Linked DNA regions of Macaca fascicularis. The main gene of each other region encodes a partner of the protein of the gene in region 4 in a complex. Links are inferred from orthologs where the notes say so. Each region holds a gene or a part of one and is shown on either strand. Other genes may lie near its edges.

Region 1 (3,559 bases), on a different chromosome or scaffold from region 4:
CTGTAGGCAAGCCTGGGGGACACAGGCAGGGGAGGAGAGGAGGCTTGGGCCTGGGCCAGGCCTTTCCAGAACAATCTGGGTGTTCCTGAGCGCATGCAGTGGGCTGGCATTATGTTATCTTCCCCACAGCCCATGTGGAAAAGGGGTTTAGAAAGGCTTGATTTATAGCTCTTTTCATGCAGACAGCCTCCTGTTACAGAGCAGCCCAGCAGTGGCTTGGACTAAGGGAAGCTGCCAGGGGTGCTAGGGGCCCCGGGAGGTGGTAGAGGACAGAAGGGTCTGGAGGGAACAGCATTTCTGGAAAGAGCATTCTCCTTTCTCCCTATAGGCTCAGGCTGGCCAAGAGATGTGCCAGGACACCCAGTCTCAGCAGCTGGGGTCTCAGCTGTCCCCAAACCCCACCCCTAGCCCACTGGATGCCTCCCCCCGCCGGCCCCCCGGCCCCACCGCCTCCCCTGCCAGCACCTCCCTCAGCAGCCCAGGTAAGGAGCAGCTCGGGTCAGGGGTGGGCTGCAGGGAGGTGCCCCACCACCCTGTCCTTCAGCTCCTCACAGGGCCTCTGCTCCCTAGGGCAGCGCGACGATCTCATCGCCAGCATCCTCTCAGGTAGGGGGCGGGGTACCTGGAGGCCGGGGGGCTGCCTTGCAGTTTCCCCCACCCCCCGCCTACCTTTCCTCTGCCACTCCCAGAGGTGGCCCCCACCCCGCTGGATGAGCTCCGAGGTCACAAGGCTCTGGTCAAGCTCCAGAGCCGGCAAGAGCGAGACCTGCGGGAGCTGCGCAAGAAGCATCAGCGGAAGGCAGTCACCCTCACCCGCCGCCTGCTGGATGGCCTGGCTCAGGCACAGGCTGAGGGCAGGTGCCGGCTGCGGCCAGGTGCCCTGTGAGTGTCTGGGCCGCCTGTGTGCTATGTGTGCTGGGTGCACTGAAGTGAACATGGGGGTCGGTGGGCATGGAGAGATGGCAAGAGCCGCTCCTTGACCCCCAGGGAGGAGGGTTCGGGTGCAAGGATGGAGGAGGCTTTCTACACCAGGCACCTCCGTGTCCCCCAGGGAGTGACATCTCTTTTGAAGTCCATGAGGAGTGTGTTGCCCAAACAGGCTCCCATCACTTGTGTGGAGCTAACAGGCCTCCTGGTTTGCATAACAGACCTGGCCCCATGGGGTGGTGTCTGCCATCGCTTGCCGGGGTGTGCCCCCCCACACACCCTCCCCATCCCAGTTCATGTGACGGACCCAAGCATCACCCAGAGGGGTTCTCCTCGCAGAGGCGGGGCCGCTGATGTGGAGGACACGAAGGAGGGGGAGGACGAGGCAAAGCGGTATCAGGAGTTCCAGAACAGACAGGTGCAGAGCCTGCTGGAGCTGCGGGAGGCCCAGGTGGACGCAGAGGCCCAGCGGAGGCTGGAGCATCTGAGACAGGTAGGAGGCCTGCAGTGGCCAGGGAAAGCCTCCTGGATAGACTGGTCATCGACCCGGCATCACCTGTCGGCTCCCTGTGTCCATAGGCTCTGCAGCGGCTCAGGGAGGTCGTCCTTGATGCAAACACAACTCAGTTCAAGAGGCTGAAAGAGATGAACGAGAGGTGAAGGCCTAGGATTGTCTATGGGAAGGGCTGGGGACTTCTAATACAGAAGGAAGGCAGAGTCTGTGCTTCTGCCGCTGACCCCTCCTTTTTCCCTGCTGGCTTCTCAAGGGAAAAGAAGGAACTGCAGAAGATCCTGGACAGAAAGCGCCATAACAGCATCTCGGAGGCCAAGACGAGGGACAAGCATAAGAAGGAGGCGTAAGGGCACCAGGGCCGGGGGCCACCTGGGTACTGGGGAGGCAGGGCGGGTGTCTGGGCCCCGAGCCATCCTGCATTGCTCCTGTGCAGGGAACTGACGGAGATTAACCGTCGGCACATCACTGAGTCAGTCAACTCCATCCGTCGGGTGAGTTGGGCTCCTGGGCCACCCTACCCCACGTCCCTTCCTTCACTCATCAGACACCCTTCTCCGTGCCTGGCCTGGTGCCACGTTGCCCTCAAAGTTCTTCTAGAGCCTTTCTCGAGTGCCCAACAGCTCCAGGGTACCCGCTTCATACCCAAAGCCAACTGTCTGCACCAGTGCCCCTGGCTTTGGTGTCCTTGGGCCCAGTCCTTTCACAAACCTGATACATCACCCTGGGAGCCTTCACCCACCTGACTTCCTTTATTTTTCTTTGAGACAGAGTCTCACTTTGTCACCCAGGCCGGAGTGCAGTGGTGCGATCTTGGCTCACTGCAACCTCTGCCTCTTGGGTTCAAGCAATTCTCTTGCCTCAGCCTCCCAAGTAGCTGGGATTACAGGCGTCCGCCACTACGCCTGGCTAATTTTTGTATTTTTAGTAGAGATGGGGTTTCACCATGTTGGCCAGGCTGGTCTGGAACTCCTGACCTCAGGTGATCTGCCCACCTCGGCCTCCCAAAGTGCTGGGATTACAGGTGTGAGCCACTGCGCCTGGCCTTGCCCACCTGACTTCTATACCCAGCCAGAGCCTCGAGGCCCTAGCCCCTCAGGGCCCCTCAGCTGAGCCCTTGCCCACCCCTGTAGCTGGAGGAGGCCCAGAAGCAGCGGCATGACCGTCTTGTGGCTGGGCAGCAGCAGGTCCTGCAACAGCTGGCAGAAGAGGAGCCCAAGGTGAGGCCATGGGCGAACAGGCGGGCAGATGGGGTGCAAGGCAGCCAGGCCTCGCCTGTGATGCCCGTCCTCCTCCCACAGCTGCTGGCCCAGCTGGCCCAGGAGTGTCAGGAGCAGCGGGCGAGGCTCCCCCAGGAGATCCGCAGGAGCCTGCTGGGCGAGATGCCGGAGGGGCTGGGGGATGGGCTTCTGGTGGCCTGTGCCAGCAACGGTCACGCACCTGGGAGCAGCGGGCACCTGTCGGGCGCTGACTCGGAGAGCCAGGAGGAGAACACGCAGCTCTGAACTGGCTGAGCAAGAGGTGGCCACAGGGCCAGGGTGGGCGCTGGGTGGAGGGCAGGAGGCAACGACACTAATGCTTTTTTTTTTTTAACTTTTTATCTAGAAATTTTATTTTTTTAAACCTGGGGCAAGTACCTGAGCTAACTCCCTTCATCCTCCTGGGGCCCCTCCTTCCTGCCCTCAGTCTTAGGTTAGGGCCCTGGTCAGGGCTTTGCTCCCCGTGACACCCACACCCTCGAGGTAGCAGTGTCTCCTCCCTTCCCTGGGAGAGCTGCTGGAGCTTCAGGAAGTAGGTGTCACATTTTTTCTCTATTCTTTGAGGATTTTTTTTACATGAATAAAAGTGGATTTCAGGGACCCTGTGTGCAGTGTGATTTGGGGTGAGAGGACTCTGTACGTTTCCTCATCTGTAAAATGGGCTTTGGGTGTTTGGTGGGGTTGAGGGCACGCCTCCAGCCAAGGACTGCTGGGTTGAACCTGAGCCTGCCCTGCCGAGTCTGCTGAGCTTCCCTGTTCCTGTTCCTCCATCCCCACGACTTTCATCTCTCCGAAGCTCTCCCTGTTCTCTCTTCGCTGAGGCTCGGGCCTCTGCTTCAGGAAGCCTTCCCTGCCCCGCTTC
Region 2 (4,081 bases), on a different chromosome or scaffold from region 4:
CCCAGTGAATGGTACATAGCCAGGCACTCTATAAACATTTTGAATGATGAATGATGAACAATTTTGTTTACTTCTTACTCATTCCCCTGTTACCTTAAGAATTATATGCGACTCCTCACCAGTCTCAAACTTGTAGTCAACTTCTTCCTCTTCATTATACACCTACCCTATCACAAGGATCAGTCATTATTTTCTCATCCTCTCCTCCCCACTCTCTCCCACCAAAAAGTCTTAGAAGCGGCAGCTTCTAATCAGCCTGAACTTTCTGACATGGTTGGGATCCAGTTCAAGGTTATGCAATATGAAAAGATAAACAAAATAAAGGAAAAATGTGGAGACTGGAGTACCTATTAGGTGATTTTAAACAATGGACACAGCTCCTAAAGAACCCGCTAATTCAGTAAAAAAATTTTTTAAATTAATTTAGTTTCAACCACTCTGTTTTATCATAGAGACAAAAACTGGTTGATTTGCTGATTGTTTTCACTTACTATGTTTTGGCCTAACATAGAAGTCTTGAAACAGAGCTGACTGTACTGATTGTTGGCAGGAAGTAACCTGCATGTGTGGTCTCTTAGCAAATTATATGGGGACTGTTCCTAAATGACAGGGCTCTGTGCTTGAGGAGTCTTCTGCACTCAAGGGTCTTGGCCTGCTTCTTCCTTTCTACTTCCCCTCCAACTTCCCCTACATCTTCCCCTCCCACCTTGTCCACCACAAAGCTTTGTCCCTCAGGCCCTTCATGGAACACCTCCCAGGCAGGTATAAAGCACCCGGTGTCCCAGGTTCCTACAGAGGAAAAAATCCTAGGCAGACCAGTTAGGGGATCCTGGAGTGGAGACGGGAAAAGCAACAGCAAGGTGTGACTGATGAAGTTCTGTTTTAAGGAATAGGAACTGCTGTGGTGTTAAGTTCTGGAAATCCAGAGCATTTCAGAAAACAGCCTGCATTATTTCCTCTCAATAACAGACTACCTAAACTGCACTTGGAAGATCCAGTTTAAGGGGAAAGATAGGTGTGTTTAGAACTTGTCATGGACTGTTCCCCAATGTGCCTTTTCTTCAGATCTCTGGGATAGTTGAAGCAAGTAAATGAAATGTCTTCTCGTTAGTGGGCTCCCTACCCTGAGGAACACCTTGTGAAAAACATTTGAGGACAAGATAGGCGTTGCGAGAAGGAACACTGGAGATTAAAGGATGTGGGCAGTGGTGGTGACATCATTTTCTGGCTAAAGAATCAAAAGACGGCGACAGAACATGTAGAGTGTGAAAGGCTATGAGTATAGAAAGGAGATAGCAATAGACACATGCTAGTGCAGGCAGTGCCTCTAGAAGATAAATGTTTGTATTATTTGACTTAAAAAATAAATATATGCATGTTATCTATTGAAAGCTATAATGTTAAAATAATGATAAGACTCCATCAGTCTGGTATGCTTTTTCTCCCCAGGAAATACATACGGAGGCTGGTGATCAGGCCCCGGGAACTGACAGTCTAATTTGATGCCACTGAAGCAAAGTCCCCAAGGAATTCTGGCGGCTTGGACCAGGAATTCTGCAGGGACACTGACGGCCCCTGGGGCCAGAGCTGACGCCGTGGCCCTCCCCTCCATATTCATACACTCTGTGAAGCTACCTGTCCCCTTGTTAACACATGGAGAGCGAGTCCTTTCTGACTACATCACAGGCAGAAGCAAGGCAGAGGCACAAGAAACTACCGACAGCAGGCGTTTTGGTGTGCACTCCCGTTCATTGGCGTAGGTGACCCGCTGCCCCTTCTAGGGGACACTGAACAGTCCAGTTCTGAGCCGGGGAAAGCCTTGATCCTATAATGTGGTCCCTACTTTCCCCCACGTTCACGCCCAATGCTCCCAGGCTGGAGCTGCTCCGGCGTGTGCCCCTCGTTCGGCCCCGAGCCCTTGGCCCCCAGACCCCGCCACGGCCCCTCCCCCACTGGGGGCGCTTTCCGCCCGCCCTCCTCGGGTTCCCTGGTCCTACCAGCGCCTTGGCCAGGGCTCCCTCGCACAGAGGCAGCTCCAGCCCCTCGGCCGTGGGTCTTCACGAGGCTGGGCTTGTGTCTGATCTCAGGACGGCGCGCGGACCCTGCTCCCTATGCGAAGGTCACGGTCTCGGAGAGGTGCGCATGGCTCACTGCACTCCCTGCGCCCGCCTTCGGGACCGGCCGCAGCAGCCCCCGCAGACCCTCTGGGCAGCCGCGGCGGCCCTGGCCCCGGAGCTCCGCCCCTCTCGTGCTCCCCGCCCGCTTGCCCCCTCGGGGTCCCGGACTGCTGAGCCCAGCTCCCCTTGGAGCCCACTCGCGAGCTGCCCTCTAACCCCCACCCCAGTTAGTCCCCGTTCCCTCACCGTCTCCTTAGCCCGCAGATAGCTTAGCTGACTCTTCAGGGTCGCTGAGGGCGCGTCTTCCGTTCCCCGAGGGCCACACGCCGGCTCGGGTCCCCAGCAGACGGTGAGCCCCGCGCTCAGGTCCTCTCCTGCCCTCTTCCGTGCCGAGCCAGGGGTTCCCGGCTCCCAAATCCTGTTCCTGCTGCCTGCTGTCGGGGAGGTCCTCTTCCCGGACCCCTACTCCTTGGCGATGGAAAGAGACTTAGAGGGCTTACGACGCCACCAACGTTCTCTGTGCCGAGGGTGGCACAATTTTTTTTTTTTTTTTCTGATATAAGGCCAGAGATTCACAATAAAATAAATACAAATCGCGTGCCCAAACTCTTACTTATTGTGCAAGACTCAGGTCAAGCGTTACCTCGGTGCTGACAAACAGCTCCCTGCTTCCACTCTCCTGCGCGAAAGGGCGCGCGATCCTCCCTGGCTGCAGCCAGGCGCCTGTTCTACCCGACTCCACAGCTCGCTGCTTGGAGGCCCCGACCTGGCCTTGCTTATCCTTGTCCCTAGCCCCTGGCAAGGTGCCTGCCACCCATCACAGCACTAGAATATTTTATGAATAAGTGGAAAATTAATTTCTTTTGTAGAAAACCATTTGCGTGTGTGTGTGTGTGTGTTTGGCTTTTTACCCTCAAATAAAGCATACTCCTTTGGGTGGGCAATTTGCTAGTCTCTATAAAGAAACACCAAAAATATCCCCTTTAATGCAGTATTCCATGCTTGGGGAAATTTCCAGAACAAAATAACATTCATGCGGAGATGTTTTTTAGGAGGATCATTTACTACAGAAAAAAAATTTGAAAACCACAAAAAGTAAACAGAGCCAAACTGTCAACAGTAGGAAACTGGTTGAGTAAATTAGGGTGACTTAATGGGATATTATACAACCGTTAAAATGATAAACATCAAGACAGAAGTGCTTCAAATTCTTTTTAGAATAAGGAGGGAGTATGTATTTATTTATAAAGAAAAAAAGGGAAACATGAAGTAACATGATAAAATGTTTGCAAATTATTGTTAAGCAAAAAGCAGAAAATTGGGTCATTTACCCATGTTTAATAACTTCAAATAAAAATGCAGATTTCTTCTCTGCAAATCGGCCATAACATCTACCTCAAGGGGTCCTTGGAGTGTTCAATGAAATAGTCAAGGAAAGTGCCTAGTACAGAATGGATACTCAACAAAGTTTCCATTTCTTTTCTTCAATGGAACACAGACTCAAATCCAGCATGTCAAACACATCCTCATTATGGCCCAATTCTACCCATTTGGCTTCCTTTCCCTCAAATACAGCGTAGGAGAAGGAGCTGAGCAAATGCCAAAGAACCAGGGAAGGAGGAAAATCTAGTTAATAGGAATAAACGTGAAGTCCTCCCTCAGGCCGAAACACCTAGCAATACAAGTTGGTAATGGGGGATGTGGCTCAGTAGTGCTCTACATCAAAATACCTTAGATTTTATTTTAGTTGGCTACAAGCACAACCTTGTGAACACCCAAAGGCTGAATGAGTTCAGTTCAAAACCTGAATGAGGCTGCAATCTTAGGCTGAACTTATCCTCTTCAATGGTCAGGTTACACCTGGGCATAATGTCCAAATCTGGGCACTATCTTTAAGAAAGCATTACTCTGAAGATCTATTATTGCTTCCATTGTAAAGATGAAGAAACTATGCATACAGTTTC
Region 3 (4,359 bases), on a different chromosome or scaffold from region 4:
AGTGGGGAGGATCACATGAAGCCAGGAGTTCCAGACCAGACTGGACAAGATAGGGAGACCCCATTTCTATTTTCTAATATAAATTAACATAAAAAAGAGAGAAAATTTCTTTATACATTGAGCTGAAATTAAACCCCACTGTGGCTTCCACCTATTTTTGCTCTCTGGGGCTACTCAAAACACATCCAAATCCTCTTCTACAAGCGAATCCTTCAAATATTTGAAAACACCTATGTCTCCCTTCTGTGCTCTTCCGATACCAATGGTTTAAATTGGTAACAGTAGACTTTGTTTTAATAGATCTTCTAAAAAGCAAATAAAAAGTAAGGCATGCTGGGTGCGGTGGCTCATGCCTGTAATCTCAGCACTTTGGGAGGTGCAAGTGGGCGGATCACAAGATCAGGAGTTCGAGACTAGCCTGACCAACATGGTGAAACCCGTCTCTACTAAAAATACAAAAATTAGCCAGATGTGGTGGTGCACGCCTGTAACCCCAGCTGCTTGGGAGGCTAAAGAATTGCTTGAACTCAGGAGGCGGAGGTTGCAGTGAGCCGAGATGGCGCCACTGCACTCCAGCCTGGGAAACAGAACGAGATTCCGACTCGAAGAAAAAAAAAAAAAGTAAGACATTACCAATATGATGCAAACCCTCAAGCACTCATGCACTTATCCCCAACCCCACACTTCTCCTCTCCCACCCCTTCTATCTGCTCATGTATTTATTTAGCCTATGGGATCCCAATACAGAGGAGCCCTGATGGACGCATTTATAGTGCAGCAATGAATAGAAGACAGTGGCAGTCTTAGACTAGAGTTGAAATGTGATAAACATTTATATACTGTGTTTATAAACCGTGTAACTCTAACCAATTTATCTAGTCTTTCTAAGCTCAATTTCCTCGTCCGTAAAATGGGAAGAATAATCATACTTATCGCGCTGGTTGTTATAGGGATTAAACAAGATAATTCTCTAAAGCTTTGGCACTTGGCGCTGAAAGGAGCCATTCCATGTCTTCTTTCCCGCCCCGCCCCTTGTGCTCCCCACCGCTTTCGTGGTGTCCGCAGCTGCAGCTGCCTCTACAACAAAAAACGCATCCCTCCTCCTGCAGTGTCCACCGCACCGGGAAGCCCTCTCTGTATCAGTTACCAACCACAATTGCAGTGAGTTCGGATCGTGGCTTTCCCATAGTCAGGAAAAGTGAGGGAAACGGACGACCCGGTTCTCTAGGAGTAAGTAAAGGTTAAAGGTAGTTCGCGGCATAACCCAGGCCGGGATTAACCCGAGGTCCCAGCGCTCCTGCTATTTGCATTCCAAAGCGGACACCTCATGCGCTCAACCCCGCCCGCAGGCGGCTCCAGCAGTCTAGAAGACCTGGCGCGCGTCCGGGGACCCGGGGGAGCAGCCGCGCAAGGCAGGTGACCGGGGGCGGGGCCAGGGCCCTCGTTCCGGTCCCGGGGCGTGGCCTCCCGCAGGTGAGTCCAGCGGCGCCTGGGGTTTCCCTGAAACCTAACCCGCCCTGGGGAGGAGCGCAGAGGCTGCGATTAGGGACAGACGAGAGGCTGACTTTCTCTCGGTGCGTCCAGTGGAGCTCTGAGTTTCGAATCGGTGGCGGCGGATTCCCAGCGCGCCCGGCGTCGGGGCTTCGGGGAGGATGTGGCGCCCCAGCGCGGCGTGGCTGCTGGGGGCCGCCATCCTGCTGGCAGCCTCTGTCTCCTGCAATGGCATCATCCAAGGTGAGAAACGTGGCCAAGGAGGGCTCTTATCGCTGAGGAGCTGGGGTCCTGGGCACGCTGGGCAGACGGTGATCCGGGCAGGTGCGCGAAAGGGGTTCTGCTGCCGGCACCCATCTCCACGAATCCCTTAGCCTCTCCTTGGTGGCTTTGATGGGGGGTCTCTGCGCCAAGGAGGCACCCAGGTGGGACATGCGGGAGCAGCTGAAGTTGGCAGAGCCCGGCAGAGGCAGAGACTTCCCCAAAGACCCTACTTCCCGTAGAGGCTGTCATGCTGGGCACCCCCAGGCGCCAGCGTGGGTTCGGGGAAAGGGAGTGAAGGAAGGAGTAGCTGTGTCTAAAGGGTACCCAGAGGACCCAGTCCCCTCCCCGGGCTTGGTTGCTTTATAAACACTAAGTCGTTAAGAGCTTTTCGCTTAGTTTCCTCTCGCTCCCGCGGGGCCGGTGGAGTTAGCGAGCTGATTGCGCAGGGCAGGGCGGAGTGGGTGGGAACCGGCGGAGTGGGTGGGAACCCGCGGCCCGGGAGCCTTCTAAATTGTTTTTTGCGCCCCCCTCCCCCAACTACTGGAAGCCTTTCTTCGGGTTCTGCCCCTGGCGTTCGAGATCCACCCGGGGCCCGCGGCTCCTGGCACCCACGGTGGAAGGCCCGGGGTATGAAATTCAGGGCTGGACTCTGCTGGGTTCTGGTGGTAATGAGCGCTCAGGCCCGTTGGGCGTCACGAGGATTTACGAGCGGAACTTTTTGGACGCTGCCTTATATTTGACCAGTTGACTCTCTGGGCCTTGGGTTCCGGGACTTGCCTAGTGTGCCACCCGGAGCGACCACTGGCTGCCACCCAGGTCTGCAGGCCGGAGGCTGGCCGCCCTGGGAACAGAGCAGCACTTGCGCCCGGCCGCCGCGTTCCTTGGGTGTGCTGCTCCGGGTTTGCTCGAACTTGTACTGCTCGGAATGTGTTCTTCCGGGCCCAGCAGGCCTCGCTGTAGCTGTGGGGGATGTTTGACTTGCGGTCGCGCCACTGTGATCCTAACCGAGGCCCCGCTGTTTGGGGCAGCCTGGGTAGCAAAGGGAGGTTTTAATTTCCCTCAGATGTTCAGACTTGCTGTAAAAGGCATTTCTCACTTTTATCCACCTCTTCATAAAGAGGAGGTAAAAGAGCAAGTCGCAGTGGGTTGGAATTAGATGGAAGAATGTGATTCTTTTCCCTCTTCACTTAGGGAAAAGGGTGTTGTGTAAGCTTGAAAACTGTGCACTGCTGATATATTTTTTATTAATCAGCATCAGAATAAAGGCATTTAGTTCCAGGAAGTATTGAAAACTGTAATAAACACCTCTCCTCTATGTCCTTTAAAGTTGGGAACTTAAAATTCAGGAGCAAAGGTTAGTATGTGCAAACTTTAAAAAAATACGTGTTGGTATAAATGATTCAACATCTTTATGATTCAGAGGTCCCCCTAGGAAGCATGCCCCGATTATTTGGCTTGTTCTTGTTTACCCCTCTTGATAGGGGATTGGGAGATCCCTGGAGTATAAGGCGAACTTGATTTGACAACAAGGAAAAATCAGGTTACTTGTTAACTAGAGCCACTTAATATTGCACCTTGTTCCTCATCCTCCCCCCACCATACTTTTATTCCCTTGCAGGGTAACTTTCCCAAAGGGTTCGCGAAGTAACACTGAGAATTGATTTAGGCAGATGGAGCTTTCCTCCCACCTTAAAACTAAACTGATTTTAGTAAATACCGTGTCAGCAAAGCTTTTCTGCCCTCAGGGTAGATCTTTGCTCACTGCCTTTTAACCAGTCCTTCTGCATGCCCCTCAGGTGGCTGCAAGGCCGATTTGGGGTTTGATTTTCTTCCCAAAGCCTCACTCCGAAAGACTGCCTCATAGAAAGGAACTCAGCCTAGATCACAGCCTTCTCAGGGTACAGGTGAGGGACACTGAATAGGGGAGGAGGCAAGGCAAGGAAAACACTTGGAAGTCGCGGCCCCTCTTTCCCCTCACAATAGTAATTGGTAATTATTTGGGTAAATATGTTTAATACATGTCCTCACTGCATCGTTAACTCCTGGAGGCAGGGGACCCTACCATCCTTTCCATCATGTCTAGCATAGTCTCATCACCTATGGGACCTCAGTAAATAGCAGATGAATGAAGTGAGGAGTCTTGCCCAGAGTACCCTGGCTGGTCCATGTGGTGTTCATTTCAGTCAGCTTCTCTCTGCCACTTACTTATTTTTTCCCACCATTTTACAGGCCTAGGTCATTCCATTTATCTTTTTGAGACTGGAACTTCTGTTTTCTTTATAATTGGTTTGGTGTTTTTTTTGTTGTTGTTGTTTTGTTTTTTGAGTCTCATTCTGTTGCCCAGGCTGGAGTGCAGTGGTGCGATTTTGGCTCATTGCAACCTCCATCTCTCCCTGGCTCAAGGAAATCTCCTGCCTCAGCCTCCCAAGTAGCTGGGACTACAGGCATGCACTGCCACCCCCAGGTAATTTTTTTTTTAGAGGGAGTCTCTCTCTGTCACCCAGGCTGGAGTGCAGTGGCATGATTTCAGCTCACTGCAACCTCCGCCTCCCGGGTTCAAGCAATTCTCCTGTCTCAGCCTCCTGAGTAGCTGGGGCTACAGGC
Region 4 (3,559 bases):
ATATTTAGAGGATGGGCAATTATAGCATTTATTTTCATGTTGGGGAGAAGGGGGATGGTATTTTACTTCAACCAAGAAATAATGCTAGAGGATACTGGAAGTGTGCTTATTTTCTAAAAAGCTAAACTTTGAGGGGTTTTTCCCCCAATCCTTTTTCAAGTGGTTTTAGAAGTTTCTGTTACTTTAACACAATGGCAGGGAAATGTGTTGGAAAGGTTATTGGAAGTGATCGATGGGCCTATTTTGAAATCAAATGAAGCCTGTGGTACTACTGAAAGAAAATCACAAAATTCAAAGTTAAACCAGACTGAATGGTTTTAAGTTGTTTTCATTCTTTTTTCAATTTGTTAAAAAGCAAGGCCACCACCACCTCTTTGAAATCCCTGACTTTGGCCAATTTATGATACTTAACAAACTGTCTCCTTAACATAATGTGCTTCCCCAAATTTTAAACCTGAAAATATTTATTGCTGAACATCCAAATATGCCTTTCATTGACATCACTAAAAATAAAAATCTGTTTTTTATAGGTGTAACTCTAGAGGTTTAGGAAAAAGACATTTATCAAAAACTTATTATCTATTAAAAGTCTCATTTATGATGGGATGGAAAATGTATATTTCCAAATCCCCCTATGCACTCCAGACATGTGAAGACACTACTCGTGTTGTCACACTATTGTGAACACCTGGACCATTCAGCCGACTGCTCCGATGAAGAGTCGCACCTACCTTATTGTGCTCATACTTGTACGGGATCTTGAGTGTGTCCATGGCTCTGATCATGGCCTGCATGGCCGTGAAGATGTTCTGATACACCAGCTTGGTGAAGCCCCTTTTATCTTCATCAGAGTATCCTGACCCATGGATGATTCTCATCTGCTTGATAAACGTACTCTTGCCACTCTCTCCTGTCCCTGAAAGAGGAACAATAGCAGCTCATCAGACCACAGCGCCATCTCAGTCTCTCAGATAACTAAACCAAATACCATGCCTTGGTTTAGCATCCCCAGATGGCCTGCTGAGAGGAGCAATTCTAGAATTGGAAACGCTACCTATGGTGAACATTCAGCAAAATTAGAGGGAGAGAGTATATTTCAAAGGCAGATGACCTCCAACAACAACAACAAAAAACCCAAACCTGTCACCTCTTTGGAAACCACTCAGCACTGAATTTTGATAGTCATTTGTAACCATGTATCTTGCAAGAAACAATGACAACAGCATCTTTTGAACATGGTAAAACCTGATAAAGCTCTGTTCCCTGGAGAATATCTGAAACGCTTCCAGGACACTGGGTTGATTAGCCAGGATTTGAATCTGGAAATGACAGTGCACTTACACAAAAGGTATTCAGACAGAGATAAGAAAAAAAAGGCCTAAAAATTTCTAGACACGTTCTCTATTTTATTTTTTTTAGACACAGGGTCTTGCTCTGTAACGCAGGCTGGAACGCAGTGGTGTGATCATAGCTTACTGCAGCCTTGAACTCCTAAGATAAAGAAATCGCATCTCAGTCTCTTGATCCTCCCACCTCAGCCTCCCAAGTAGCTGGAACTACAAGCATGCACTACCATGCCCAGCTAATTTTTTTTTTTTTTTTTAAATTTCTGTAGAGACAGGTTCTCACTAGGTTGACTGGGCTGGCTGTGAACTCCTAGCCTCAAGGGGTGCACCAGCCTTGCCTCTCAACACCCAGCCCATTTTCTCCAATATTAAAATGAGGCATAAGAACACAGTATCCTGGTAAGGCAAGAAGAAGAATCATTTTTCTAGATACCACATATCCCCTGAATTTATTTCTGGTAGGGGGCTGGTTGACTGAGTTATTCCAAGGAATCACCTAATTCAGGAAAGCAACGGTGGTTCTTCTTCTCTCTCCCCATTCTTGACTAGTAACATTATATAGAAATGTATTGTGATTAGCTTTTTTTCCTTCTTTTTATTGTGATTAGCTTTTTTTCCTTCTGTGCTATCTCCTTTTTCACATCTTCAATATTACTTTTCTGTTACCATAAGCCTGAAGGTAATCCCTAACAGAGCTATGCATGTCGCTGGGAAGAAGACAAGACAGAAAAATGGGATCACTTCACAAAATGACAGCATATTTCTTCTACAATGAATCCAAATCGAAAAACTTCATTTTTCTAAATGTAAGTGGTCATTTTCATGTGTCCTTTCTCAGGGCCTGTTTCTCACTCCCTCTCAAATTTCCTTGAGATCTCCAAAACAGTAACTGTCTTTATCTTACCCCAAAAATATGAAGAAAATAAAAGTGCCAATTTGGATATTAAAGACGGAATAACAGAATGAAACACACAATGGCCATTATCACCAGGGTCCTTAATGCCATTTCCTCACTACAAAGCTGAGAAAAACAAAGAAAGAAAGGGAAGGAAAGGAAGAGAGAGAGAAAGGAAGGAAAGGAGGAAGAGAGAGAAGGAAGGAAGGAGGGAGAAAAAAAATAAAAGCTAGTAATATGCCATCTGTCCTAAATTCATTTTGTTTTTCTGATGGTTGGATTTCATTACTATCTTTATAAACAATCACAAAATTTCAATTAAGTATTACAGTTTTCATAGAAGCCTCTTAAATGACTGCAGATGTCTTGGTAAATACATAGCCCTCACACAGTTACAATGAAAGGTATTTCTAGCCATAGAGTCCTGCAGTGGCTGATTCCTTTATAATAATTTCCCTATTACTTTTAGTAAAGTGATCTGGAACTCGTAGAAATATAAATTAACAGCTGTAATGTGAATGCTATCACCCCAATTTAACAGGATTAATTCAGAAAGTTTAAAATGAGTATTTTATAATTCCAACATGAATAGTGGACAAAAGCATAAAGTGGCTGAAACCTACCATTTCTCTAATAGAAATGAAGCTACTAAAATTGTTTCTCATTATCAACCAATGATTTGCAGAAACTAGTATATTTACTCTCCCATAGATTGCTTCTTTATTATCACGATCCCACAGCCAAAGGCTTGCTCTGAGGGCCTAAGTGTAAACAACCATTAATTCACAATAAAAACAGAAGAAATCCTGATTTGTGAGGTTAATATCAGGCAACAGGACCTTTTTTCTCCTGGTCACCTGCATATACTTGTAACTACCCTACCCCCACAAAAAAAGAGAAAGTATCACATGAAGTATAAGCACACTGGTATGTGGTTAATTGAAATCACTTTGGGCAAGAGCAGTCAACATTTGGCACTTCTTTGGATCTAGTCACCAAGTCCCTGGGCACTGTCCACACACTGGATATCACACTAATGTAGACTCCAAGTAGGGGCCAAACATGTGACTGATAAGTGAATTAGGAGAAATTAAAAGAAAAGAAAAAACAATCAAACAATCAACCCTAAGATATTTTCCTGTTGCCAGAAACACGCCCAGGGATCCTTTCTCCACCATCTCATCTTGCTGGGTACCCCCAGGAGGCTGACCAATAGGGATTTCAACAGCTTTGTTATACTCTGCCTTCTGCTTGGGTTTAGCCAACAGGAAACCAGAGAGCAGGAGAAAAAGGAAAGGGCATTTATTCTCCTAGCTTC

What was found.
Region 1: the proteins of GNAQ (region 4) and PLCB3 are in contact, whole or in part, in a cryo-EM structure (PDB 8UQO), measured with the Homo sapiens proteins. The link is inferred for Macaca fascicularis from reciprocal best matches to the Homo sapiens genes GNAQ and PLCB3. Residues at the interface, in NP_002063.2 of Homo sapiens: Pro185, Thr186, Thr187, Ile189, Glu191, Pro193, Arg202, Gln209, Arg210, Ser211, Glu212, Arg213, Arg214, Lys215, Trp216, Ile217, His218, Val240, Glu241, Glu245, Glu249, Glu250, Ala253, Leu254, Arg256, Thr257, Ile258, Thr260, Tyr261; in NP_000923.1 of Homo sapiens: Pro257, Arg258, Leu259, Asn260, Glu261, Val262, Leu263, Arg707, Asp709, Lys710, Ile719, Asp721, Gly722, Ile723, Val724, Ala725, Ser845, Asp846, Tyr847, Ile848, Pro849, His852, Tyr855, Ala856, Ala858, Leu859, Ile860, Asn861, Pro862, Ile863.
Region 2: the proteins of GNAQ (region 4) and CASR are in contact, whole or in part, in a cryo-EM structure (PDB 8SZG), measured with the Homo sapiens proteins. The link is inferred for Macaca fascicularis from reciprocal best matches to the Homo sapiens genes GNAQ and CASR. Residues at the interface, in NP_002063.2 of Homo sapiens: His63, Leu196, Gln197, Ser198, Ile323, Tyr325, Ile337, Arg338, Phe339, Phe341, Ala342, Lys345, Asp346, Ile348, Leu349, Gln350, Leu351, Asn352, Leu353, Glu355, Tyr356, Leu358, Val359; in NP_000379.3 of Homo sapiens: Lys644, Ala645, Asn647, Arg701, Val702, Leu704, Val705, Phe706, Ala708, Lys709, Ile710, Pro711, Thr712, Phe714, Phe801, Arg873, Thr876, Ala877, His879, Ala880, Phe881, Val883, Ala884, Arg886, Ala887, Thr888, Leu889.
Region 3: the proteins of GNAQ (region 4) and F2RL1 are in contact, whole or in part, in a cryo-EM structure (PDB 9D0A), measured with the Homo sapiens proteins. The link is inferred for Macaca fascicularis from reciprocal best matches to the Homo sapiens genes GNAQ and F2RL1. Residues at the interface, in NP_002063.2 of Homo sapiens: Arg37, Ile323, Tyr325, Asp346, Ile348, Leu349, Gln350, Asn352, Leu353, Glu355, Tyr356, Asn357, Leu358, Val359; in NP_005233.4 of Homo sapiens: His108, Pro109, Ala110, Met114, Gln172, Arg173, Val176, Ile177, Pro180, Met181, Gly182, His183, Ser184, Arg185, Met265, Met268, Leu269, Met274, Asp275, Asn277, Lys280, Lys281, Arg284, Ala285, Leu288, Ile289, Tyr344, Tyr345, Val347, Ser348.

What each region holds. Positions count from the first base shown.
Region 1 is NC_088388.1:10,129,079-10,132,637, reverse strand, and holds part of PLCB3 (1-phosphatidylinositol 4,5-bisphosphate phosphodiesterase beta-3), read left to right. Parts: intron 1-328; coding exon 329-482; intron 483-570; coding exon 571-606; intron 607-689; coding exon 690-882; intron 883-1,266; coding exon 1,267-1,420; intron 1,421-1,506; coding exon 1,507-1,583; intron 1,584-1,694; coding exon 1,695-1,784; intron 1,785-1,874; coding exon 1,875-1,932; intron 1,933-2,571; coding exon 2,572-2,658; intron 2,659-2,739; coding exon 2,740-2,943; 3' UTR 2,944-2,959; exon of another isoform or gene 2,960-3,297; intron 3,298-3,559. UniProt on the Homo sapiens protein: Catalyzes the production of the second messenger molecules diacylglycerol (DAG) and inositol 1,4,5-trisphosphate (IP3).
Region 2 is NC_088376.1:161,062,848-161,066,928, forward strand, and holds the start of CASR (extracellular calcium-sensing receptor), read right to left. Parts: upstream 2,848-4,081; 5' UTR 2,364-2,847; intron 2,207-2,363; exon of another isoform or gene 1,998-2,206; intron 1-1,997. UniProt on the Homo sapiens protein: G-protein-coupled receptor that senses changes in the extracellular concentration of calcium ions and plays a key role in maintaining calcium homeostasis.
Region 3 is NC_088380.1:80,791,375-80,795,733, forward strand, and holds the start of F2RL1 (proteinase-activated receptor 2), read left to right. Parts: upstream 1-1,502; 5' UTR 1,503-1,652; coding exon 1,653-1,734; exon of another isoform or gene 1,735-2,673; intron 2,674-4,359. UniProt on the Homo sapiens protein: Receptor for trypsin and trypsin-like enzymes coupled to G proteins.
Region 4 is NC_088389.1:108,568,109-108,571,667, forward strand, and holds part of GNAQ (guanine nucleotide-binding protein G(q) subunit alpha), read right to left. Parts: intron 917-3,559; coding exon 732-916; intron 1-731.